7 linked regions of the Coturnix japonica genome follow. The protein of the gene in region 5 purifies or fractionates together with the protein of the main gene of each other region. This does not show direct contact. Links are inferred from orthologs where the notes say so. Each region holds a gene or a part of one and is shown on either strand. Other genes may lie near its edges. The genes, in order: MLF2, RASAL2, UBAP2, AMBRA1, BAG2, DNAJB4 and SGTA.

Region 1 (3,995 bases), on a different chromosome or scaffold from region 5:
TGATTCCTTTTTCCCTTCTTCAAGTGGCTTCTTGTTCTCGTTTAGAGCAGACCAGAACTCACACGCAATGTTATTACCCTTTGAAGTCCAACTGTTTGTATTATTAATCCTTTTCTGAACTAGAATGATTCCAGGATGCTTCATTGAGTCAATCCCGCAGAGCAAGGCACCTAAAGCTGCTGGATCTGGAATAACTTATTTCCCCTGTATTACTACAATAGATAACTGAGATCAACAAGCTCCAGGAACAACATTTTCCCACACATCCAGCAATTCTCACTCCAATTCTGTTCTCTTGAATTACTCTTTTAGCTTTTCATTCTGCAACCATTTTCAAAGGAAGTTCAATTACCGCCTCTGCCTAATGACGGCCGAGTCTTTTCCATGTGTCATCACAGTTTCACAACAATCTCCAAACAGATCCACAGCTTCTTCTTAGACACATGAGGTTAAGAGACCCTCCGTTCTTCCTAGATATCACCTATCTCAATTCCTATGAAATACCATGCTGTAACAGCTTTATGGATCTCCTCTGTTCAAGGTGCCCGTATAAATGGACTCCTCTAAAACAGCTCCACAGACTACACTGAAGTATGAGGAGAAGTGGAAGGTCTAAAACCATACAACTCAGGAATAGCAGTGCAGGAGGAACCAGTTATCTTCAAACTTGACACTGAAAAACAGAGGACTTACCATGCCCAGCATCCCAAAGGGTGAAACAGCTCCCGCCTGTTGAGACAACAGAAAAACAGAATAAACGATGATCTTGCAACAGCCAAACACCAGATACTCCTCAGAGCCCCTCTCTTACCTGCATCCTACGGCCAGCCTGGCGAGCCCCAGGCGTGGTCCCATCAGTGATACCAAGCAACGGGCCAAAGCCAAAGCTTCCAGAAAGCATGCGGTTCATGTGCTGCCGGTGGATAGCAAAAGGGTCCCTTTGGGAAAGATTGAGAGAACAGTGGTGAGAAAAGGATGACAGAACACTGAGTCCTGTATAATACACACATTCTGACTCGGAGTTTCTCTTATGCAACTGTGACTGTATTTTCTAAGCTGAAAATCCAGAAGCTCAAGAACACACACAGTGTTGCGTATGCTAATCCTTAGGGCTGGATCCCATTTCTTCTCTTGTGACTGAAAGTATTATGCCACAGAACCTCTCTTACACACTAACTAATGTCTATTCAGCACCAGCTCCATGCTCTGTTCCCACTAATACTTTTGAGCCAAGCTCCAAAACCTCACTGCTCTACAAGGTAAAAGATCTGCAGTCCAAGCGCTACCATCATCTCATACTCATTTCCTCTTGAGCCATCAAAACTCTTTGCATTAGCAGCCTCTGCTTTAAGGACATACTTGTACACGCTGGAGAAGCAAGGAGGGAAAAAGTAGAACAGGGACAGTCCCAAATAACAGCAGCCACGCTAAAGAGCCTGAGAAGCATCACAGCATTTCTCTGCACATCTGGTAGTTCTGCATTCATCCCTCCAGAGCACAAACAACCTGAGCAGCACGTAATTTCCTGAGATCACAAAAGCACCGAGCACAACCCAATACTTTCCTGTTTCTGCTGGGAATACTTTGCATAATAAAAGCGAGACTCATAGCTGCCACATCAGTGAGAACTGTACACTCACTCTGTGACTGAGACTTCCAGGTCTCCTCTCCTACTCATTGGTTTATGGTTGATAACATTCTTATAATCAACTTTATAAGCAAGAGCAGGGCTTTGTTTTCCTACATATATTAATTGTAACTAATGTATAGCAGTGCCACACTTCATACAAACTCCTACCATATAACACTCTTGTCCTTAACTGCTTTGGCAACAACCGCCACCTCTCATCAGTTGCAACCCATTTCTGAGCAGGGGATAGAAATAAAAGCAACCAGTAAGAGGAACCCCAAAGCAAAGCATCATTGGGACCCACATCAGGTTTTCAGGCTTGTGTTTTAAAACGCCTAGAATTCTCCTCATTTAGTCCCTCACAACGTGACAGCTCCCTCAGCAGCCTCCTCCAGCTCCACTAATGAATTCTTCGGCGGGGTAGAAACGAACAGGCACAGATGATGTTATCAAACCTTACTCGTTATACGCAGCAATCCTTAAGCACAGCTAAAGGTCACAGAATCACACAGAATCACAGAATGACCCAGGTTGGAAGGGACCTCAAGGATCATGTAGTTCCAACCCCCCTGCCTGGCAGGGCCACCAAACATACACAGGGCCACCAAACATACAAAAGGTCGGGCGCTCCAGCGCTGCTTTCCTCACACACTCACAGTGTATTTGGCCTACTTTATTCAATGTGTCCTCAAAGCCACAGTGGTTCGGCTGGCACGAAACAGGCCGCTCCCATCCCCCCATGACCCCCCTCCCCTCCGTGCAGGCCGTGCCGCAGCGCCCCGGCCCCTCGAGCCGACTCACATAGCGAACATGGGATCCTCGGGCTCGCCGTCCCTCATCAACCGGAACATGCTGCTGCCCTGGCCGGGGGCGGGCTCTAAGGAGGGAGGGATGGAGGGATGGAGGTTGAAGCGCTGAGCAGGCCGCACGTCGCAAAGGCGGCCGCCCCCAGACCCGCACCTCACCTCCCCACCACCACCACTACCACCCCCCCCGGCCCCAGGCTCGCCCCCACCTTGTGCCCCTTCTCCGTGCGGTGCCGAGGGGCAGACGGCAGGAAGAAGACGAAGAGCAGAAGGATGCACACACGGGCCGCTCACTCCCGTGCTCCCATGGCGGCTCGCAGCCCGCTCACCCCTTCCGCTCCAGCCGGCTCGCCCCGCGCATGCGCGCACAGCGCCGTGTGTCGGTGCGCTCTCGCCGGGCAGGAAGCGGCGCTCGGGCCCGTGTCGGGGCACAGCGCCCCCTGGCGGTCAGTGCGGCCCGAGCGCCGCTATGCTGCTCTATGGCAGCGGGCCGCCAGCTCACAGCGCACCCGTGGGCACCGACACTCACCCGGAGCCGCTGCCAACACCACCAAGGCATCACTGCCCCCCTCCGTGAGCCTCAGTCACACGTCTGACTGTTCCAGCATGGAAAAGCGTTTCCTGCTCGGCGTGTTCAACCCTGGGCGGGCACGTGGTGCATTGGGTGTGTGCAGACGGGCAGGGAGAGAGCAAGAATGGAAGCGTTATTTATGGGACTGGGAGCAAGGCTGCGATAAAATGACCTGCTTTCCACGGATCCCAGCAGCCATCCCACCCCCAGACATGGCAGGGCTCCTAAAGCTGCTTCCATACACAGCATCAGGCATTACTGCCTCCCCAACACAGAGCAGGAGTGCACACTGTAACCTATATGTAACCTATGTAACCTATGTAACCTATGTTACCAGCAATGTTACCAGTTAAGCAAATCTGGCTCACTGGTGGCTGAAGCCCCAGCAACACAGACAAGCTCCCCCTTGTTAGAAACGCAGAATCTGTCATAAATCAAAGCCATTACCCACACTGCCTCCCTTCCTTTTTTAAAGCAGTCCAGGCAGAGGAGAATGGGGGAAGAGGAGAGGCTGAGCCAAGGGCAAAATGGAAGCGAGGAGTGATGCCACTGCCCTGAGCTCCACCTTCTGCTGCTGACTCGCTGCCATTCAGCATCCCTCCCCCTAACGTCCCCAGCGCTGTTAGCTGCGCACTCAGCCAAAGGGGCAACCACAGCGTTTTCAAAGCAAACTGAATATCACGTGGCGTGGGTAAATAAACGCTATGTTTAAAACAGAAGGATACAGGTATGCGGCCAAAGTTCACAATCTACTGATCGGAGTAGAAGCTGCAACGAGGATACAGTGTGAATAGGAAGAAGCAAGACTGAGCCCTGGAACAGGCTGCCCAGGGAGGTTGTGGATGCCCCGTCCTTGGAGGTGTTCAAGACCAGGTTGGACGGGGCCCTGGGCAGCCTGATCTAGTAAAGGTGTATGTTTGGTGGCCCTGCCAGGCAGGGGGGTTGGAACTACATGATCCTTGAAGTCCCTTCCAACCCGGGTCATTCT
Region 2 (4,105 bases), on a different chromosome or scaffold from region 5:
CTCTCACATATAACCCTTCTCTGCCCTTTACTTTCCATGAGCACCCCAACAACTTAACTGACCAGCATTTAGGAATGATTAGAGAACCATTTGTTCCAACACAGCACCAGAACAGTGTGAAAAAGGAACTACAGCATGTGCTGCCCTTTAAAGATTGCAAGTGTTTAATCCAAAATACTTCTGTCATATAGAACACCTTCCCAAAATAGCTTGCTGATAAATACATGGTGGCAGAGACCAAACCAACTGTCCAAAGCAACAGAGCAGCTTGCAGTAATGCCAGTTTCTCAGGAGGTCTCAACAACAGGAGGAGCCAAACCAACCCCTTAACGAGATGCGTTCAGAAGCAAAGTAGCACCGTCTCTTCATTTTTTCCCCATGTATTTCACAAGTACTGACAAGCCAAATTCCACCTGAGTGAGGTACTGGAAGAATACAAAGCAATGAACACATGCAGCGACTTCAAACAAACCCTAGGAGACTGATGGAGATAATCCTTCAGTGCTGCTGCTCTATGCTTGTTTTGCATTGTAAACCAACAAGGCTGCTCCCAATACCAAACACAGCCTGTAAATGACACCACCATCACTCAGACCCACTACCTGTGTGGACAAATAATAACAGCAAGCTGACTTACTTATTGTTTTCTTAATAAGGATGGCTCGTCCAGCAGTTTCAAGTAGGTCCAGATGTTACCAGGTTTTAATATGATAATCTGGAGGACTCTGGAGAGCACAGAGGTTTTGGAGAGGAGGAAGGCCTTGCTCCCCTCCCCCAGCACCTCCTTGGTCACTCAGATCAGGCTGGCATCCCACTAGAAAGCTCCATGGAAGACCAAGAGAACAGAATTTCTCCCTTTCTCCCATTTTTATTACATCTATTTTTTTCCTGCTTGATGAGTGTTGTTAACAGCAGGGCAGATTTAAATGGAATCTCAGACTGGCATCTTGCTGACCTCAATCCCAGCTGGCTAAACCTCTGTAACACTGCTGCCCTTGGCATCTAACAGAGAGCAGACATCAATTTAGCTGATTGACTGTAAAACTGTGAATCTGGTATGAGGAACTAGATCCATTCCACTGCCTTGCACACTGGATAAAAGACCACTTTATTTCCCTCTCTCTTCTCCTAGTACTTCATCTACAGTAGCAGGCTTGATACATCCATCAGCACACAACTACTCCTCTGAGGCTGCTGTGCTCACAGGACTGTATGCACCACACACACAGTTCATTTTGGAGAGAAATGCTTCTGCTTCCTCCAGAGACATCTGTTTTAACGGGACCTTCAGGTTTTTAAGCGCATGCCAAAACATCACGCCACTTCTCTATCAGGAAAGGCCTTCCCCCCCCCCCCCGTCTTTTTCTTTAATTAAGGCAGAACAGCAGAAGGTTGCAAATCTTATGTTACCAAACAGCAAAGTTCAAAACCGGTTTGAACAACTATGACACGACATGTAAAATAACTATACACACCTGTAACACAAACAGAACTTAACAGAACACAGTCTATTACCTGTGCACGGGTCAATTTGCCTATTGTCTGTTCTCCACTCCTCCAGTGCCTCACTGGGGGGCTGCTCCCCTCTTCGATTCATTATCTTTGAAAAGCCACTTGAGAGAGTTGAGAAGATGCCACGGACAAAATAGCTGTGCTGCTCACCATCCACAGAGCGTACTGACTGCAGAAAGGGCTTGGCACTCCTGTGTGCAGATTGCGGCACAGGTTCAGACAGGGAACGGTTGAAGGGAACCCGCAGTGATCTGGTCCTTGCCTGGAAGAGCATCTCCGTTGAGTCTTGGTGGAGATCCTCGGCGCTGGTAGCATCCATGCTTGCAGAACTCTTGTCAAGACTCGAATTGTTACCTTCCCCTCTAAGGCTGCCAGAGTGTGCTCTTTTGCTTATCCTCCAGGGAATACGGGGATGCGTTTGCCACCTGTACGCTCCAAGTGCTTTGTCTGGTTCCAAAGCTGTTTGTTTGCTCACCTTCTTGCTTCTTATTTGGTGGTACCAATGATAGTCCTTCAAGGCAGCAGCGCCAGCATCCTGTTCTGACAAAGACCTTCTAAAGGTCCTGGGAGAGAGACTGTAATACTTTTTAAAAGCACTCATCTTCCAGCTCTTGAATTCCAGATCTTAACTTGCATCACTCATCACTCAGGAGTCACATAGCTGTAGTTTCTGGCTCAGCATTTTAATGCCCAAATCATCTTCACTGCTGTGACTGAAGGATAGCAGAGGTTCTTCCTGATGAGCCAGAGCATCAATCCCAGCAATTCCTACATCTCAGCAAGGAGGACAAGCCCTCACCTACAGCAAGCTGCTCTCCAACCATACACTCAGCCTCGCTACGCCTGCTGCTGCTTCCTGCATTGTTGCAGCTCTGCACCGAGCTCTCAGGAAATGACTAAAAGAGCCCAGCCATGAAAACCCACAGTGCTGATCTGCACCAATCACACTTCACTTTTTCGTTTGGTAGACATTAAAGATTTGGTTAAACAAAAGAGAAAAAAAAGAATGTGAAAGTAGAGTCACAGCTTTAGGGTGACAGCAAAGTCCCCAAAAAAGTGTTCAAATTGCAATGTTCTGCTGAGGAGCCATGCACATTATGTTCTTCAGTTAAGTAGCAATGTACATCAAATAGAGCAAGACACAACATAAAGGCAATCCTTAGAGTTTATATTTACCACAAGCACCTCGCATCACCCCAGAGTTTCCTTTTAGAGAGGAGTAAAATACTCAGAGTCATCACAATTGGGTGCTGGAAGCTTCACAGAGCAAAGGCGAGGAATGGAGTAAGGAGAAGGAATGCTGCAACTTAATATAGTGAGAGTGTAAATACACCAAAGGCAAATAAGTAAAGGGGAGGAGAAAGAGCAGCGGGTGGGTGGGACTTCAACCATCCTGCACTGGAGCAGAGGTTGGGAAAGCCTTGAGGCATTATCCTCCAGCCAACAGAACACGATAAAGAGTATCTGTCTTTCTCCCCCCCCCCCCTTCTTTACTTTCATACATCTGGTTGGAATAAGGGTGGACAAAATGCTCCAATCTGCTTAATAGAGAAGGGAAAAAAATCCCCTCGCCTTCTCTACAATTTAAGAAACAGCTGACTGCTTTAAAATCTCATAAAGAAAATAGCTGCTGGTGAACTCAGATCATGCTTGCCAAGTTTTAGACCAGAACACTTAAATCTCAAGTCTACTAAAATCCCTGAAAATAGGAGGTTTATAATGGAAATGCTGACAGACCCTTGGCAATCAAGTAACAATGAAAACCACTTCTCTGGTTAAATAAAATGATAATCTGCTCTGGCAGACCAATAAAGCTTAACTGACCCGCTATGGGATCCTGCCTTTAAGCTTTGACAGCATTCATCAGCCAAAGTACACTCCTGACAGCTGCAGATGCAAAACTTCCTTACTTTTGTATGTGTATCAAAGAGGGTGTCACCACATGGAGGCTATTTGAAGCCGAGACACTGCATTACAAATTCTGCATCAAAACCACTGAAGCTGACTCTCCTTCTCCATTGGAAGTTGTGCTGCTCAGCACAGGCCCTTAATGGTAACACATACCTAAACAAAAGCTTTGCTGCAGTTTCCATACAGGGTAAGGATTCTCCCAGAGGCACAAGGCTGAGTGTGCCCAGCATGACGATGAGATGGAAAGCCCTTGGTGCTGAGGCAAAGACAGTGTTGAACACCCAGACTTAGGCTATTCCTGCTGTTACTCGGTCACTGACTTCCAGCAGTGAATCTTGGTTTTCTCGTAGAGCCTGTGGTCACAAAAGCAGCAGCAGAGCTTTGAACAAATGCTTTGAATTAGCCAGTCTGGTAAAACAGGCTTTATGGAACTTTAGAAATAAGAGTAAGTAAATCTGACAGATGACGCTGTGGTTCATTTTAATGGCACAAGCCACAATCTGCAGAGAAAACTGAGAATGTGGGATAGGTTTCTGGTCAGCCCTGCAAGACTTGCACAAGGTTTCCACTAGCACATCTGCACCAACTTTTGGGAGCACACAAGGGCAGGAGAGGACAACACAGACAGCTGGTGCAGTAGCTGAAGTCTTCCCAGGATCTGTTTGCTGCAGATTTCCAGCAT
Region 3 (4,296 bases), on a different chromosome or scaffold from region 5:
AAGCAAACAGGATGCATTGGTCTACAAACCAGCAGACTGTATCAGGGAGAAAAAGAAACAAAATAAATAAAATGTTAAGATTCAGCAGACCACCAACACTAAAGTATGGTTATTACTTGTATTTCCTCACACCTTCCCTCAACAGCTTTGAAGTACACAAATGTAACACAAAGTCTCTTCCAATCTGGCCTTTTGTAAAGGAGACAGTCCCTCAGCTTCTACCAAGGATGTCAGGGCTGCTCCTGTGCTCTTACTTAGCACGAAACAAAGATAAGAAGATCCATATTTGTGTTCTCTCTTATTCTTTCACAAAGAACCTGGTCCAAGCACTGGTACTAACCATAACTGAAAGTACAAGTAAACATTACTATTAATACCAATTATTAACGTAATATCAATATTCCACCATGCAAACATCTGTCAAGTACCATCAAACAGCATATTGTTCTGCTATGAGCACTATCAATAGGGGGACACCAGCAACAAATATAAAACATACTAAGAATGGTGTCTTATGAGGAAAACATCACATAAAAGTGCATGGAATAAAATAAAATATCCCAAAAGCAGAGCAAAGCAAAAACAGAAAGAGCAAGTTACAGTAACCAACAAGATTCTGTTGGTGGGATTTTCCTTGGCTTCCCCTACATTTTAGTGGTAAATCTGCACTTCCAACCTTGAAATCCTCTTGCAATCTCAGAAGCTTTCCTGAGGACTAGTCAAAACAACAGAAGTGGAACAGACCAAGGTTCTGAACTTCTGTGCTTTTGTCCGGGGGCGGCGGGGCCCCGTCTGTCCCTCCGTCCCTCAACAACAACTTTTGTTGTTGTTGTTGTTTCATTATTATAAACACTTTAAGTCAGTATGCTGATAAAATTGCAGCTAGAACAAAAGAGAACTGAGCATTCCCACTCCTCCCTCCCCCTTCCAACTTACAAAGACTGTTGAGGTTATAAACAAAAAGCATGCCCATTTTCCAGACTACACATCAAAATCAGTTCACACCAGTTAATCCAGTTTCTCCATGTAACACTCCTGGAGCCCCAAAACATCATCAATGCTGCTAAATGATTTGGCCTATCTTACTTTAAAGTTACCTAGCATAAGGTTAAAAATAAATTCTTTAAGCAAGTTAGGTCAAACCACCACAGAGAGATCAGGCTCGGGTATAAATAGTGAGTCACTCAGGTAAAAATGCAAACCCAGATTCCATCACAGGCCACGATATAACCGAGAGAATTGCTAGAAGGGGCTGGTAAATACTTAAAAAACAAACAAACAGGTTTCCAAAGGCTTAGCTGATGCTGTTTTCTGTGAAGGGCTCCATTTTCAATGGAAAGTGTTGCTCTAGGCCTGCACATCCTCCCTCTCCCTTCACTTCACTCACATCCAGCTCATTTCTCTCCTTGAAAACAAATTAAAAAGCCACTCTCCCGCCAGGACAGCCCCTCCATTTCAGTAGTGACTGCCACCCCAGAGGGCACTGCCTTGATCTGCTGCTTTATTATAAACCTCCATCACTTGCTCAAATTGAGATGACTAGAGCTTGATCACTGCTCCACGCTTGGCCCTTGTGAGCTTCCCCTCACACAGCTCAACACAAAGCCACAACCTGCTCTTTCACGAAGCTCCTCTGAACACGATCAAGAGGACTGTGAGCACTCAGACACACAGCTGTATGAGGCTGTAAGCCACAACACCTGAGCGACCGCAGACACCACAGCACACCTTCCTACATCTACAGCACCTTACAGAGCTCAGATCCAGCAGGACTCCAAGGCGCACCAGATCCCTCTATACACCCAGGTCCTTCCAGATGGGTTTCTCCAGGTCAACTTCCCTGCTGTAATTTCCTTCAGCAACAACAGCAAACAACTCTTATTATTACTATTAAGCGCAATATGACCAAGCTCCATAGCAAAGCCCTGACAGACTTCCCACGCATACCCAGGCTCACAGGGGCCCGTTCCCAGCCCTGTCCTCACACAACCCGCTGCGGGCCGTCCCGAGCACAGCCCCATCCCTATGGAGGCCCCCAGCGCGGATGTGGCATGGAAGCACAGCCCGGCACGGGGCTCAGACAGCAGACATCCATCCCACCAACGCCTCCCCACACCCCGACCCCCGAGGCCTCACCACGGGCCGCCTCCCAAGGCGGGAAGCAGCGCACCTCAGGGCCGAGCCGCCGCCTCACCAGGGCCGTGTGCCCGGCGACAGGGGGCGGGCCGCAGCTCCGGAGCAGCGGGCGGTGTGGAGGGCGCCCACAAAAGTAGGGCAGAGCCGCACGGCCCGGCCGGGCCTCGCCTCCCCCCGCCCACAGCGCTGAGGGACGGACCGGGCCCCGCCGCCCCCGGACAAAAGCGACCGTTGGGCCTCGGCGCTGCGAGGGCGGAGGGTGATGGAAGGGGGGGGGCACGTAACGGCCGCTCCAGAACGCCGGGGGTGTGAGGGGGGGGGGGGGCGGCGGGTCCACAACGCCCCACGGCGGGTTCACAACGCCCCACGCGAGACGCGGCTGCCCCGTACCCCTGTACCCCCATACCCCCATACCCCGTACCGCCGTACACCGTACCCCATACCCCGTATCCCCGTACCGCCGTACTCCTTACCCCATACCCCGTACCCCGTACCCCATACCCCATACCCCCGTACCCCTTACCCCGTACCCGGTACCTGCACAGCGTGCTCACAAAGCAGCAGCAGCAGCGGCGCCCACCCGCGTCACGTGACCGCCCCTCGCGCCGCTCCCTCCTCCTCCACTCCACGCGCGCGCGAGGCCGCTCCCCCGGCACGTGACGTGACGTGACGTGACGCGACGCGACGCGACGCGACGCGACGGGACGTGACGCGCCGCCGCGCCCCCCCCCCCCCCCCCCCCCCCCCCCCCCCCCGTCCCGCCGCCCCGCACGCACCAGCAGCGCGCCCATCCGCCGGCCCTTCCGCGGCACCACGTGACCACGGCGACGGGGCACGGCCTCTTCCTCGTCACGTGACCGCGGCTCCGCCTCCCCGCCGGCCGGAAGTGGTCGGCCGGAAGTGGACCCGTCCACCACAGCGCGGGGTGTCGGTGTGGATGGGGCGCCCCTCGGTCACGGCCCGGTTCACTGGGTTCCTCAGCACGTCTGGGCTGTAATGGAGACCCTGCATTGAGCACAGCATCAGGCCTGGCAGGCAGATCCTCCCCATTCAGATATTTAATTCACTCTGTTCTGCTCATGTCTGCGCTATATCTGCGGCCTCCCCAGTGTTACCGTTTGTTTATAAGGGATTTATCCGGTGAAGGTGCTCATCCCCCCGGGCCGTGTGTTTAAACTCACCTCAACCTCGTTTTTCATAGTCACCCATTGCAGATGTCTTACATAGTTGGCTGGAAACCATCGTTTTAGTCTGTTGGTGTTGGCCAGTAACATTGAAGGGGGAAAGAATGCTAATGTTAAGAAGGAGAGAATGCTAATGTTAAGAATATCACCCTGCTTCTGATTGAGAAGTCTGCTCTACTTCTGCGTTATTCTCTAAGGTCCCTTCCAACCCGCACAAGACTATGAGACTATGATGCTATCATTATAGGCAATAATCAGAAGGGTGGAACTACTGAAAGTCTTGAATTCAGTGTGAAAGTGTGCCAAGAGACGTTGCCTTTCCAGGGCAACAACCAGGGATTGCTGCTGCATTTAGGTTTGAGGTGAGTCTCCAAAGATCCTGTCTGGAAATGGAGTTATATACAATAGTGTGCTCAATTGTGTTAATGTGCATCCCAAGGCACAGCACCATTCAGCAGCATTTGTTCTGCCAAAGGTGACTGAGCTGTGGGTGCCCTTCTGGCATATATGGCATTCACTGATTCATGGTGTTAAAGGCAGAAGGGGTGATGATATCATTGTCTACTCCTCATATAGACCAGGTCATTAAAATTCCTGGCATTCACGGGCCGCATTAGTCTGTTACATCTCAGCATCACCCTGCAAATTGATGCTGGACTGCCTGATGAGCCCTTCAGCATCACTTCATACCCAGAGACAGACCCTCTTCTGTAGGTGCTGCCTGCAGCCCTTGGTCCAGGTGTTCTCACCTTGACATTTGAGTTCATGGAAGAAGATGACATGTTTTCATGAGACTCAACTCTGGACTTGCTCTGTACAAATACATTATCCCCATTATTGGTTTATTTTCCTTCATTTTTTTCCCCACAAAATGTTTGCAGTGACTCTGTATTCACTGCAGATCGCTGAGGACACTTTAGCAAACCTGAGTCTGATTCAGATCCTGCAGGGCCCCACTTTAAACGCTCATTTTGGG
Region 4 (3,065 bases), on a different chromosome or scaffold from region 5:
TTGCTACGTTCCTAGCAGAAAAGGACTTATTCTGCTTGTGAGAATTAAGCTTGCCCTTAATATCTGCTGTGTTTCTACAGCAGGGCAGTATGTCAGCAGGCTTGCTTGAAGAAATTAGGCATACTCTGTGGTGGAGGAAGTCAATGGTATTTGATGCAAATACCACTGAGACAGAGAATAAAAGGAGTAAGCTGTCACCGACTGACTGCATAAATGTTAACAGCTTTAACTATCTTGTTTTTTCCACAAAAAATAACATCTACAGCAGCATGGTGTTGTCTGTGCTGAATATCCCAGCTCCCATACTGGAGACACGATCTCTATCCCACAGTCCCAGGTGTTTTGTCTTCCTAGTCAGCGTGGCATTTTGGTTTTTGTTGTGTTTTAACTTCAGCCTACATCTTAGCCTTGTTGACATTTGTGTTGATTTCTTTGGTGCCAGGAGAGCTCGTGGTTTTCTCCTCCTCTAATCAGCACTGTGATAGCTTCATGGAGCTGGGAGTGAGATTTATCTCTTTAATAAGAATCGTCAGGATCCCACTGTGGAATGATTCTGGCAGTTCATGATTACTGATTGTTTTCCCCAGACGGTCTGGTTAAGGTTTGTAGCAAAAGGAGAATGGTGAAAAACAGAACTGGGCTTGAATGTTCCTGCTGTGGGTTTTAATCTACATGGGCTATTTTTCCAAGAGATTTTCTTTTTCAGAGGCATTTGACAGTGGTTCCCTCAGAGCTCAGTACAACCAGATTATGAGGGGAAGTTTGAGGGAGAGTAAACAAAAACCTTAAGAGATGTTCCTCGAAAAAATACCTGTTGGGGAGAGCAGGAACCTACACACTGGACTTCTTGACTAAGGGCACTGCATTTGTTTGGCATTTGAAGGAAAGTTACAGAAATGAAATACTGAACTTCCACTGGAGCAAAGCCTGTCTTCTGTCCCAGCACACGTGCCCTGTTATTCAGTGACATTGTGCATGCATTTTCTTGGTGCTTTAGTCTGCCTGATGCACCAAAGTTGCTTTTGCTCTCTCTTTGCAGGTGAAGGTCCAGAATACGGGGCCGGTGGGGAGGATGCCCTGAGCAGGATACAAAGGCTGATGGCAGAAGGTGGCATGACTGCTGTGGTGCAGCGGGAGCAGAGCACCACCATGGCGTCCATGGGTGGCTTTGGCAACAACATCATAGTGAGTCACCGGATCCACCGCAGCTCTCAGACTGGTGCGGAGTCCACTGGAGCTGAGGGAACATCAGCACATCAGTCCACCTCACAGCAGCTGGCATCTGAGCTGGAGGGACGGATCCTTTCAGAGTCTATGCAGCTGTCGGAGCACGGCCTGAGCCCGCGGACATCTTCTGGTGGGAGTGAAGGACGAGGCACTGGTGACCTGGACCTGCCGGAGCAGGCCCAGCCCTCCATGGACACTGAGGGACCAATCGAATACAGTGACCTAACTAATAATAACCATCTTCCTGACAGTACCAACTTCTATAGTAATGACAGCACCAGTGGGGAGTCGCGGAACAGGTAGAAATGAGTTGTGTGTTGGTGCTACCCTTGTACTGCTCAGCAGAGACCTGTACCTCACAGCTGGCCGGAAGCTGGAAGAGTAGGGACATGTGGCTCCAACAGGATGTTGGTAGTTCAGAGGGTTTCTATGTCCTGGGTGAGTGGCAATGGATAAGAACTGCGAGGAAGCCATGGGCAAGAAAGCATAGTATCTTAACTTCCAACATTCCCACTGCTGAATAAGAACAGGAATATAAACAATACTGGCTGTACTCCATGCAGATTTTGAAGTCGTGTGGGATCCCCTGAGCTCAACCCTGCAGTTTGGTCAGTGTCATTCTTTGTAATGCTTCTCCCCTTTCCTCTTTCCTGCCCATTTATGCATAGGGGCTGATCAGCAGAGTGAAGGGAAACAGGCCTGCAGCATCCTTCTGGAGACTGGCAGCCCTCCTGTGCAAACCTGGGCGTGATGCTCCAGCGCTGTTGCTGGAGCAGAGGAGTCTTCCAGGACACAGTCCTGTGCTGTGGTCTTTTCTGGGAAGAGCTAGGATTCATCAAAACCTTCATGGCTCGGGAACTGCTTACACGTGGGGATCTTTCCTTCTTAGAAATTAGGTTAGTACTTGCCAGGAACCTAAGCAGAGCTGCTATGTAGATGAATAGAGGGACAGGGGCTACTGCTCTCCAGTCAGGATGCAGTTCATAAGTTGTGCCAACATTTAACATGAATGAGCCATCCCAGTGGTTTCATGGTGCCAGGACTGAGCTGCACCTCCTTGGCAGGGGGCAGGAAATGTCTTTGAGCTCCAGGCCAGGGTGTGAGGTATGGGTCTGTGATGTAAGGTGTTGCATGTGAAATCTTGACCTTGTACATGTAGTTTCTAGTGGAGAAATCAAGGCTCTGATATTCTGTTTTTAGTCTCAAATGTGATTTTCCTTTTCGTTTGTAACTCTCCATCCCTAGCAGGTTTGTGGAGGAAGGACGGGGAGAGTGTGAGTGCTAACGAGGGAAACACCAAAGATTAATGTCATTAAAATATGACAAACCCTTGCTTGACCTACTGTCTTCATTTGTGTGATGGATCTCTATGGGATTGACTTTGGGAGATAGGTACATCCAGCTCAGGAACTCAGGGTAGCTTACAAACGTCAGATAATGGTCATTCCCTTTCCGGAAGGATGGCAGGCTCAGCGTTGGAGTGGAAGGCTTTCAACTATGCAGCAGAGGGGAGGAATAGAGAATCTCAATTGCAATTTGCCTTTCAACCAGTCTGGGGATGAGCAGGCACTTCTGCATTTCCTATCATTCAGGTACTGCAACAGAGAGAAAGTGGAGCATTTCCCCTGTCCTGTTCAAAATGGTACGTAACAGCTCTGTCCATCTTAGACAAGCAGAGAGGGATCTGTCTTGCTGAACTCTTGAAGCAGAAAAGAGATCCAGGGTCTGGCTGTCCTGGATAAAGGAATGCACGCCCCAGCGTCTGTTACCACTGTCTGCACTGAGGGATGCTTCCTCTGCCATCAGATCACCTGCCAGCAGCTGCTGTGCTTCTGCTC
Region 5 (4,072 bases):
GACAGGTAGGGGAACGTGCTGAGGAGATGCAGGCAGGCTTTGTCAAGGTAACAGTGTGGGTTCCTACCACTAGGTATTTCAGTGACTGACTGACTTTAAAAAAAAAAAAAGAGAAGGAAGAGAAGGGAAGAAAATAAATCGCCATGCGTGAATACAATCTGAACTGGCGATATATAGCCTCTGTCCACAGAGAAGGGGGCCTGGAAAGGTCACAAGTGGGTATCAGATTGACAGACAGGATTACACACCCAGTCACGCCAGCGGCCATTTCTGTGGGCTCCTGACTGCCCCTCCCCAGCTTGCTCTGCTGGCAGCGAGGGCACAGTGCCTAAGGCAGACCCGACTCTGGCAGCTTCCTCTCCTTGTAGAAGGCTGTCAGGTCTGTGCCTTACTGTGGTGAGTGCAGCAGTATGGGCTTCTTTCTGCTGGGTGAAAATATCCAATGACATCCTTATGGATGGAGTTTATCTGTTGCTTTCAGCATTAGTTTAATATTCCGCGGATCGTCTGAGCCTAAAAGAACCATTCTTCACTCCTGACTTGCCTTGGTCTGAGAGCGATGAGAGGTGCCATGCCGTTCTTCTCTGCATGCCATGGACATGAGCAGAGCATTCCCTGGAGGAACAGGTGGGCCGACCCACGCTTTGTTCCACCAGCAGAAACGTGATATCCGCTTTCCTGGGACAGCTGCAATAACGCATTAACCAGGGGCTTGCAGAAATAGCTCACTGCAGCTCGCCCGCTGGAGATGAATTTCCAGAAGGATGCAGAAACACTCAGTGAGGCCTCAGCGCTTTTTCCTGAAACACAGCTCAGCCAAAGTGCCGAGGCCAAGTGGGACCCTTCAGCCCGCTGTCCTCAGCTGCTCCTGCTGGGCTGGGGCTTGGAGTAATGAGCAGTGAGGAAAGGGCTGAGAAGAGGACAAAAGGTACAAGAAGTTATAAAGGGAAAGAAAGGAAACAAAAGCAGGAGTCTGTGTTTGTGCCTGTGCATCGTTAGACCTGGAACTACATGTCCATTTAATGCTGCCATCAGAACGCAGTGACTCATAAACAGCGGCTTCCAATGGCTGTGAGATCCCTTGACGCTGCACAGTAAGTTGGGGCAGTGGCTTGTCCTGAGCCTCTGCCAACACCTGCAGTGCGGGCCCAAACCTGGGCACCACTCAGCAGTAGCTCCTGGAGGTGCCTCAAATAATTGGCAAGAACTGCAAGGCCCAGGGAGCTGTGCACCCCTATGGCTGGTGGGTACCAGCCCACGGCAGCCCAGCATGGCCCTGGGGGAGGCAGGAAAAGGAGGGCAGCTGGGATCAGCTCTTCCAAAGGGATGCGGGGCCCAGCCAGCCTTCAGCCGCCTCATGGCCAAGTTCTTTATGAAGCCCCTCAACAACCCCATGGTGCACTATGGCACTCCTCACTGGTGGCATTCACAAGTCTTATCCACGGGGCTGCAGCTCGGTCACACCATCTGGAGAAGGAAGCAGCCCAGGCAATCTTCCTCCTAACATTCAAATGGCTTTAAAGTGAGGTGTCTTCACTGCTTACACACAGCAAAATTGAAACTTGGCTGACTTTAATCACAGCACTTTGCCCCTATTCTGCCATCATTCCACACTTAGAAATGTGCCTCTCTGGAAGGCCCACGGCAAGCAGGAGGGTTTCATTTTGGCCTTCGTTTCTGGCTAATCAAACTGTCTGCTTCGTGTCGGAGTTGCTCAGCACATTTAAAACCCACTTTTGCATACCCTCCTGCCTATCCAGCGCAGCATTTTGTAATTATACGCTACCACACTCCACCTGGATGCCAGCAGTGAGACCTGTTTGCAGGCACTGACTTTGTTTAGTCAAATTCGGAGAAGCCTGAGAAGAGCTCCGAGGAGATTTCATCAGTGAAAGGCTAACGCTGCTGCCTCCTGAATAATGCAAAGCAATGCACACAGAAAGGGAAAAACCCAGCTCTCGTGGGGCTCTGTAATTACAGAAAGACCTGGAAGCATCCCGGGTGGCTCTGAGAGCCGCTCAATGCACGGCGGGCTGTGTGGGACAGCAGCGCTGCTGGCTGAAGCGCGGTGCCCACCTCACCCGGGCAGCTCACACGGGCTGTATCCGGAGCTATTTACAAATAGGGCTGTGCCGCAGAGCGCAGTGCTGGCCGTACCACAGCTCAGGGTTTCAGAGCGGCAGCCGTCAGTGCGGGCAGCCCGGCGGGCACACAGAGGGTCTGCGAGCGCGGAACGTGGCCGTGCTGGGTGCCTGGGCTGAGAGAGGCACGGGGTGCACGAGCGTTACCGCGCTTCAGCTCCGAGCTTCCAGCAGCTCCCCACAGAGCAGAGCAGAGCAGCGCCTGGCGTTACACACATCGGGCCGGGAAAATCCGTTTCTCTTATAAAAACGCCTCTATTCCACGCACCCATGCACACGTCCCACGGCAGCGGGGCTCTCCCGCCGGGCCCCGCCGCCCCGCCGTCCCGTCCCTCCCGACCCCCCGCCGCCCCGGCCCCACCTGAGCTCCAGCTGGTCCAGGTTCTCGAGCAGGCGGCTGGAGCGGTCCGCCATGGAGGTGGAGCGGTAGAAGCGGCCTCGGAGCTGCCCGGCGGACGGCGGCTGCTGCTGCTGCTGCTGCTGCTGCTGGGGCGGCGCGCCCTCGCTCGCCTTGGCGCTGATCTTAGCCTGGGCCATAGCACTCGCCCGCTGCCGGCGGCGGCGGCCGCTCCCTTCCCGCGTCCCGCAGGCGGCGGCGGCGGCCGAATGCCGGCGTCCCGCTCATGGCCAAAGAAGGAGCCCGCCCGCCGCCTGCCCCCGCGGCACCCCGCCTCCGCGCCCCGCCTCGCGGCTCGGCCCGCCGGGCACCGCGGCGCGGAGCCGAGTCACACGCAGCGTCCTCAGCTCCCGCAGCCCTCAGGACCGCAGCGCCGCGTCGGCACCGGCGGCCTTCTTGCTCTGTTTCTGAAACTGGAGCTAAGGAAACGGGAGGGAGACTTTTAGTGTCTACACTTTACACGATGGCCGTTGTAGAATCACCGACTGGCTCGGGTTGGAAGGGACCTCAAAGCCCATCCGATGCCACCCCCCTGCTGTGGGCAGGGCTGCCCCCCACCAGCTCAGCTGCCCAGGGCCCACCCAGCCTGGCCCTGAGCGCCTCCAGGGATGGGGCACCACAGCTCTCTGGGCAGCTGAGTCAATGCCTCACCACCCTCCAAGTAGAGAATTTCCTCCTAATATCTATCTTAAACCTCCTCTCTTTTGATTTCAAATCATTTGTCTTTGTCCTGTCACTACTGGGCCATGATCTCAGTCTCCCTCCCTTTTATCATCTCCCCTTAAATACTGAAAGAATGCAGTGAGGTCTTCCAGACCCTTCTCCAAATCAAACGGACTCAACTCCCTTAGCATTTCTTTATTGGAGATGAGCTCCAGCCCTCTGATGATCCTTACGGCCTGCTCTGGACCTGCTCCAACAGCTTTGTGTCTGTCTCATGCTGTTAGTACAAAGACTGCAGAAAATTTGGAGGTCAAGGAAATTGGTCTGTGAGCAGAGCCAGAACTGAGCATTCTTAAAACCACAGTCCTTCAGATGATCCCAAGAACAGCACCTTGGTGCTAACGGACCCTGTCTCAGTGCAAGAAGTAGTCTAAGACAATACAGAAAGGCTTATGTTGGAAGTTGTTTCTGTTCTCCCTCAGTGCCCAACAGAACTGTATGTCCATTGAATGGTAGGAAACACAGCGGAACCACAGTCAGTAATGACGTTGGTGGGAGATCACATATCACTTCTCCACATGGAGCAGAACCTTCCCTTAGAGGAGCTCAGGAACCAGCTCCCACAGAAACCCCTTGATCCTAGAGTTCCAGCAGCTCAAGGCACACACAGGCTTTGCTTGCCATTGTTGTGACTGTTTAAAAAGGAATTTGCTTATCCCTAACTCCAGGTTTGGGCAAATACTGCATAGCTCCAGCAGCCCAATTTTTGGCACCCTGCTGAGAGAGATTGAGTTGCACAGAGATACTGCTTTGTGAGCCTGTCATGCTGCGGATCCAAATAGCTGTTTTCTCAGGCTTGTCCCTTCAGAGT
Region 6 (3,500 bases), on a different chromosome or scaffold from region 5:
CAAAAATCCTGACCAACGTGGAGACTTAATTATAGAGTTTGAAGTAATTTTTCCAGATAACATTTCTCCAGCATCAAAAGAAGTACTTAGGCGGAATCTTCCAGTTTCATAAAACGAGGACTATGTCAACTGTTTAAGCAGGACACTGGAAATGCAGAAGACTGGCAAGTCTGTGCTTTAAAAGTGCAATGTGTAACAACTAGTGGAATATTTGTTGTTTTTTTTTGTTTTGTTTGTGGGTTGGGTGGGGGGAAATACTGTAATGCTGCATGAGAAGAGTTAAGTACAAGTCATACAGATGACTTCTGCAGTATAATTTACAGGGAAAACCACTCATATTTTATATTAGATCTTCCTAATCAGAAAAGCTTACTCAGTATTTTGCTTAATATGAAGTGTAGTCAGTTTTTACAAAGCCAATGCATATTTCTGATAAAGTACTCAAGCCACTAAGTACTTTATTCCTTATTTCCCTACTCTATCTGTAACAGAAATGGTTTATATAGAAATTGGATGTGGTAGTAGAAATATACACGTGCAAATATTCTAAATTACAAAACAGTAAAGATACTATTTGGCTTTTTGCTTTCCACTGCACGAAGCATAGACTGGGAGAATTGGCTTGGTCTCCTAAATTGCCCCCCACTGAAATGAAAGTATTTTCTTTATTTCATCAGAATGCGAGGGATCTGCATTACAAGTCTAGGAAAGGACATGTAGCTTGAGGAGAAAGTAGACATTTGTTGAGTAGTTCCTCATGCTTCAGACAGTACAGCAAGAAAGGATTGTACATGTACAGCAAGTGTGGGCCCCGGTTGTTAAATGGGGTAGGGAAACTGGGTGGCAAGTAATGTGGAGAAGGCTGAGGTGCTCAGTGCCTTCTTTGCCTCAGTCTTTACCAGTAACACAGTCTTGACCAGGAGTCCCAGCCTCCTGAAACCAGAAGGAAATCCTGAAACAAGGAAGGGGTAACCTCAGTGGTGGTGAACCAACACAGAGGTGCATTTAAACTAGATGTACAAAAGTCCATGACACCTGGCAGGTTGCATGCAGAAGCGCTGAGGAAGCTAATGCCATTGCAAGGCCTCTCAATTATCTTTTGATTTGAGAATGGTTTCTATAGACTGGTAAGAAGCAAATATCACTCCTGTCTTCAAGAAAAGCTAGAGAGAAGATATGAAGAACTACAAGCCAGTCAGCCTTAATGCAGTCCCTGGGAAGATCAGAAAGAATATCTTCCAAAAAAGCATAATCAAGCACATGGAAGACAGTAATGTGATTTAAGGTCAGCATAGATTTACAAAATGGAAATCATGCAAAATGGAATCATGACTTGATTTCACTCTACAGTGAGGTGATTAGCTTGGTGGATAATGGGAAAACAGTCTGTGTTCTTTACCTTGACTTTAGTAGGCAAATTGGAAAAGTACAGGATAGATAGGTGAACAGTGAGATGAATTAAAAAGAGACTGAATGAGTGGGCACAGGGGTTTTGTTATCAGGGTCACAAAGTCTACTTGGAGGTAAGTCACTAGTGGTGTATGCAGACACAGTAATATTCAACATCTTTGTTAAAGACCTGGGGAATGGAATGGAATGCACATTCAGCAAGTTTGCATGTCATGCAGGAATGTGAGGAGTGGCTGATGACACCGTGTTGATTGTGCTGGTCTTAAGAGGGGCTTTGGTGGCCCAAAACAAACAAACAAACAAACAAAAAAATCATACAGAATGAAAAAACAGAGTTCAATGGGCAATGGGTAAAAATCTTGCACCCCGAAGTATTACCCAGGCACCAGTACAGTCTTGGGCTCACTGTCTGGAAGGCAGTTTTGTTGAGAAAGGACTTTGAGTTTCTGGCAGACAACAAACTGACCATGAACTAGCAATGTGTCCTTGCAGCAAAACAGACTAATGGTTTCCTGGGTTGCACTGGGAAGTTTTGTGAGCAGATTGAGGAAGGTGATCCTTTTTCCCTGTTCCTCATGGGTGAGGCTGCATCTGGCATACTGTGTCCTGTTGTGGTCACCCCAGTAGAAGGAAGACAGTGGCTTGATGGAACAAGTCTGTGAAGGACAGAGAACTGGAACTCTTCAGTCTGGAATGCAGAAAGCTCAGAGGAATCTGATGAATGTGTACAAGTACTTGGAAGGAGGGAATGGAAAGAAGGGAGCCAGACTCTTCTTAATAACACCCAATGTCAGGACAAAAAGGACAAAAGGCATGGAGACAACGTAATACACTTTTTTCTTTTAATACTGTGGTCTCCATCCCTGGAGATCCTCAATACTGAACTGGTCACAGCCTGGTCTAGTGACCATACTTGAGGAGATTTGGGTGATCACCAGAGGTTCCTTCCAACCTGAATGATTGTGTACACTCACTTAAGAGCCTCTTTCAATAGACAGTATTAAGGACTGTGTTCTGCAAATTAGGCTTAGCCCAAAAATGGGTGGTGCTGATGTGACAGCTTGAATCCATAGGAAATAGTTGTGTTTTGTTTTTTGTTTTTTTTTTTTTGTGGAAAGATGTATAAAGAACACTGTAGAATTGCATAGTAGAGCAGATATTTAAAGATCATGCTGATCTCAAGTTCAGACTTGGAAAATAATGCAAATTTTTACATTGAAGAAGGAGAATCCCAGGTCCTATCTAAGGAGAAGTCTGCTGAGGACATGATAGAATAGGAATTGCCCACAAACTTCTACGTGCTTGCATCGAGTCTTTTCTGAACACAAATATGACTTACTTATCTTTAGAGTTAAAAGGTGAATAGGGAAAAGGAAAGCCCTCTGTAATAGTCTAGTTTTGTAATATTGTAATAGGGCTGGTTCCCTGGTGAAAGAAATGCCTTGCAGATTTGTTCTTGTTACTTGAGTTTTAAAATATAATAGAGTGCTTTAGCAGCAGTTTCAAAGAATGCTTTTCTTCGTAAGAAGAAAATATATAGGATTTGCTGTTAGCCTTTTGACAGTGGAAACTCGGTAGTTACCTGCTTTGTTAGGTAGCTTAAGAAATAGCAGTATTAACTTCATATAAACGCTTTTCTGTGGGAAAGTAAATAATATGGAAGTTGGGATTCAAGTTACGATAGCTTTTTAATGAGCACAAAAAATTCCATTTTTGTTACTCAAAGAAATAAAACTTCTGGGAGATACTGTTCAAATAATTTTTCAACTGCTGATCTCTTTGTACATTGTCAGTTGTAGTCCTACAACTGCAGTAGATCTACAAGGAACAAAACAATTGCTGGAGCAGTATCACAAAGGGCAAACTTAGCTGCTTAATGTTTATGTGTATTGTTAACACTATATATTGTTTGTTTAAAGAATTCCCAATATGTTCTGTATTGCATTTCTTATGTGGTTTTTAAGTAAAAAGTGTAAAGTTGTTTTTTCATTTTCTCTCATCTTTTGTTATGATGGCAGATGCTGAAATCTATATAACTGAAGAAGTGTATCATTCTAAAATATATGTATGTTACTTTAAAAGTTAATGGC
Region 7 (2,810 bases), on a different chromosome or scaffold from region 5:
AGCCTGAAGACTTGAAGGGGCTTTGCAGACCCTGCACTGATAGCCATGAGTCAATGTTGAGGCTGTCAGTAAACCTCATTTGGTGCAGAGCTATCAAATACCTTGTGTGAGGAGGAGCAGTGTAATAATTAAGCATAACACCAAGGAGAGAGGAATATTTGTCAGTACAGTAAGAAGCTGTTATAAATACTTCTGCATATCATGCAGCTTAATGATACAATTGCTCTTCTTTTCCCCTTTTAGTATCAAACAAAAAAGATTTGGGTGTGTTTTTCTACTCTGAGCAATGACTCTTCTTTCCACAGCATGTCTGGGATGATTTCTGGTGGCCATAACCCCATGGGAGCAGCAGGCACCAGCCCCTCCACAAATGACCTTGCCAGCCTCATACAAGCGTGAGTAAAGAGCTGGCTCTTCTCCATGACCTTAATCACTAAACAGACTTACAGATATTGTGATCAAAAGTAAAAACTTCAGTTAAGGGTTGAGTAAAGCTGCACTGTAACGTGAACTGCTTGTTAGAGCAGGGTTCTGGCAGTCACCTGGGATGAATTCCATAGCCCTATGGGTGTGTGAGGACACAGTAACTGTAGCTTGTTCTCCTGCAGGGGCCAGCAGTTTGCTCAGCAGATGCAACAACAGAATCCTGAACTAATAGAACAGCTACGAAGCCAGATCAGGAGTCGAACTCCAAGTGCCAGCAATGAAGATCAGCAGGAATGAGCATTACAGGTGAGGCTGCGGGGAGGATCTCAGTGTTGTGCTGCAATATCTGCCTTGTGCCTTCACTTAGCAGCTCAGTTTCTCTTCCCCTCCATACAGACTGAGCTCTCTGCTGCTGCTGTGCCTTGGGGAGACGCAAGGCTCAGCTCTGCAGAGCTTTGAATAGACCTCCCTCATGCTTTGTGACTGGCAGATGAATGGTGTTAGCAGTTAAAGGGGGCTGCTGATGTTATAGGTCTCTGATGTTGAATTGGGGTTGCTGTCTTTACTCATAAACTCAATTCACAAATGTCTTCTCTTCTTGTCTCTGCAGTGCAGTCCGTGGGATTCACCTTCTTTGCTTTACAAACTGGAAGCCATGTGCGTGGTGCCATTTGAATTGGAAGTGTCCAAGAAGGGGAGAGAGGGGAGGGGGGGGGATAAAACAAACCCACCCCCAACACAAAATCCTTCCTATGACCTGCATGTTCAAGACCAGCTTCACACTTTTCTTCCCCCAGTCTTCGTCCTGCTCCTCCCCCTCCACCTTTCCCATTAAGTTTTCTTCTGGAAGATCCAGCAAACACCAAACCAGCACCAAACAGTCTTTCTAAAGAGACTCAGTCATTCACGACGCTGTTACATTTCTATGGTCTTTGCTACGTTGGAGGGCATTTTTTAACCCCTTTTTGAAGAACGATGAGCTCTTCACTACAGGACACCTTTGCTTTCCTGCCTACACTTCAAAGAAGTGTTGGAGTCCCACCTCCATCCTGCTTCCCCTCCATCTTCCTGCCACTTACAAGACAGTGACATTGGAGACCACTGGATCTTCTTACCTCCAAGGACAGGCTTTCTCTTGATGTTACTCATTCAGGTCTGTAGCAACGTTGTGTTGTTCACACACATAGGATCCGATGGCTGCCTCTCTAAGGTTCCCATCATTATATTGGATGGGTTGGGATTGATGAGGTAGAACGAGCGTTTCCAGTTACACCTCTTGGGGTCCATCCCCAACCTTGACAAGAACTCATTTAGTGTTAATAGTAATTAGTGTTGGAATGAGCCAATCTGTGAACTAGTCGGGTGGACATTAAGGAAAGATATCATGTTTTCGGTGTTTAAAAGGTTTCTCTTTTGCTTTTTGATGCATGTAAGTAACCAACCCAGTTGATAATAGGAGTAAAGAGAAGGAAGGATGGAATAAGAAGCAGAAGGAATCCAAATGCTCCTTGGATATAGAAGGAAATACATGGAAATAGAGAATGAAAGGGCTGCTGGTTCAATGTGGGAGGATGGAGGAGATCCTTGTTGCTGGATACCTGCAGCTTCCCACCTCCCACAGCATCCTGGATGGGGATGGAGGCTTTGGGATCAGCTATAGGGCTGTATTAAAGGGTTTTCTAATGTATGGGGCCCTATTGCTGGGCATGGGGGCAGCTGGATGGCTGAGGATTGAATGGGAGATATAGGAGACCTGGTGGTACGAATGAGCAGGTATGTTGAATATCAAGGGAAACCAACAGATCTGTACATGCTCCGTAAATTTAATCTGTGGTTCATGTAAACTCGTGAAGAATAAACTATTTGGACACTCTTTGCTATCTATCCCCTTCTTATCACAGTGATTGAACTATCCGGCTCCATCAGCACAGCGGACAGCGCTGCCAACGGAGCAACCCGGAACCTTTCATCGCGCTGCGTGTTTCCGGCGGACTCCATTCTGCTGCACACCCCCCTAACGGGGAGTGGGCGGGCTGATTGATGTCTACCTCAGCCAATGGGAGCTTGTGATTATCATCTCAGCCAATAGGAGTGCGCCGCACGCCTGAGGGGGCGGGCGCTGCGCGGGGGCAGGCAGGACGGGGCGCAGGAGGGGAACGGAGAGTGAGTGGGGGGCGTTGGGGATGGGGGGGGATGGGAGGGAACGGGGGTCGGTCCTGAAGGGGTCGGAGCCGGCCCTGAGGGGGATGGGACGGTCCGAGGGGGGTCTCTATTGAGGTAGCAGCGAGTTGAGGGCTGTTAGTGGGGAACTGGGGGTGAGGGGGGGCTGTGGTGGGGATTGAGGCCTGTGGGGGGTTATGGGATATGTGGGGGGTTATGGGATA

What was found.
Region 1: the proteins of BAG2 (region 5) and MLF2 purify together in Homo sapiens (affinity purification with mass spectrometry; 4 studies listed by BioGRID and IntAct, with this or other methods). This does not show direct contact. The link is inferred for Coturnix japonica from reciprocal best matches to the Homo sapiens genes BAG2 and MLF2.
Region 2: the proteins of BAG2 (region 5) and RASAL2 purify together in Homo sapiens (affinity purification with mass spectrometry; 3 studies listed by BioGRID and IntAct, with this or other methods). This does not show direct contact. The link is inferred for Coturnix japonica from reciprocal best matches to the Homo sapiens genes BAG2 and RASAL2.
Region 3: the proteins of BAG2 (region 5) and UBAP2 purify together in Homo sapiens (affinity purification with mass spectrometry; 3 studies listed by BioGRID and IntAct, with this or other methods). This does not show direct contact. The link is inferred for Coturnix japonica from reciprocal best matches to the Homo sapiens genes BAG2 and UBAP2.
Region 4: the proteins of BAG2 (region 5) and AMBRA1 purify together in Homo sapiens (affinity purification with mass spectrometry; 3 studies listed by BioGRID, with this or other methods). This does not show direct contact. The link is inferred for Coturnix japonica from reciprocal best matches to the Homo sapiens genes BAG2 and AMBRA1.
Region 6: the proteins of BAG2 (region 5) and DNAJB4 purify together in Homo sapiens (affinity purification with mass spectrometry; 4 studies listed by BioGRID and IntAct, with this or other methods). This does not show direct contact. The link is inferred for Coturnix japonica from reciprocal best matches to the Homo sapiens genes BAG2 and DNAJB4.
Region 7: the proteins of BAG2 (region 5) and SGTA purify together in Homo sapiens (affinity purification with mass spectrometry; 3 studies listed by BioGRID and IntAct, with this or other methods). This does not show direct contact. The link is inferred for Coturnix japonica from reciprocal best matches to the Homo sapiens genes BAG2 and SGTA.

Annotation. Positions count from the first base shown.
Region 1 is NC_029516.1:69,478,777-69,482,771, forward strand, and holds the start of MLF2 (myeloid leukemia factor 2), read right to left. Parts: upstream 2,801-3,995; 5' UTR 2,646-2,800; intron 2,508-2,645; 5' UTR 2,482-2,507; coding exon 2,432-2,481; intron 939-2,431; coding exon 812-938; intron 730-811; coding exon 694-729; intron 1-693.
Region 2 is NC_029523.1:5,256,396-5,260,500, reverse strand, and holds the start of RASAL2 (ras GTPase-activating protein nGAP), read right to left. Parts: upstream 2,801-4,105; 5' UTR 2,114-2,800; coding exon 1,516-2,113; intron 1-1,515. UniProt on the Homo sapiens protein: Inhibitory regulator of the Ras-cyclic AMP pathway.
Region 3 is NC_029547.1:6,914,978-6,919,273, forward strand, and holds the start of UBAP2 (ubiquitin-associated protein 2), read right to left. Parts: upstream 2,801-4,296; 5' UTR 2,674-2,800; intron 1-2,673. UniProt on the Homo sapiens protein: Recruits the ubiquitination machinery to RNA polymerase II for polyubiquitination, removal and degradation, when the transcription-coupled nucleotide excision repair (TC-NER) machinery fails to resolve DNA damage. May promote the degradation of ANXA2.
Region 4 is NC_029520.1:21,106,387-21,109,451, forward strand, and holds the end of AMBRA1 (activating molecule in BECN1-regulated autophagy protein 1), read left to right. Parts: intron 1-1,039; coding exon 1,040-1,530; 3' UTR 1,531-2,565; downstream 2,566-3,065. UniProt on the Homo sapiens protein: Substrate-recognition component of a DCX (DDB1-CUL4-X-box) E3 ubiquitin-protein ligase complex involved in cell cycle control and autophagy.
Region 5 is NC_029518.1:79,197,086-79,201,157, forward strand, and holds the start of BAG2 (BAG family molecular chaperone regulator 2), read right to left. Parts: upstream 2,801-4,072; 5' UTR 2,679-2,800; coding exon 2,503-2,678; intron 1-2,502. UniProt on the Homo sapiens protein: Co-chaperone for HSP70 and HSC70 chaperone proteins. Acts as a nucleotide-exchange factor (NEF) promoting the release of ADP from the HSP70 and HSC70 proteins thereby triggering client/substrate protein release.
Region 6 is NC_029523.1:16,608,729-16,612,228, reverse strand, and holds the end of DNAJB4 (dnaJ homolog subfamily B member 4), read left to right. Parts: coding exon 1-112; 3' UTR 113-3,399; downstream 3,400-3,500. UniProt on the Homo sapiens protein: Probable chaperone. Stimulates ATP hydrolysis and the folding of unfolded proteins mediated by HSPA1A/B (in vitro).
Region 7 is NC_029543.1:2,303,230-2,306,039, forward strand, and holds the end of SGTA (small glutamine-rich tetratricopeptide repeat-containing protein alpha), read left to right. Parts: intron 1-305; coding exon 306-395; intron 396-608; coding exon 609-723; 3' UTR 724-732; intron 733-1,036; 3' UTR 1,037-2,310; downstream 2,311-2,810. UniProt on the Homo sapiens protein: Co-chaperone that binds misfolded and hydrophobic patches-containing client proteins in the cytosol. Mediates their targeting to the endoplasmic reticulum but also regulates their sorting to the proteasome when targeting fails.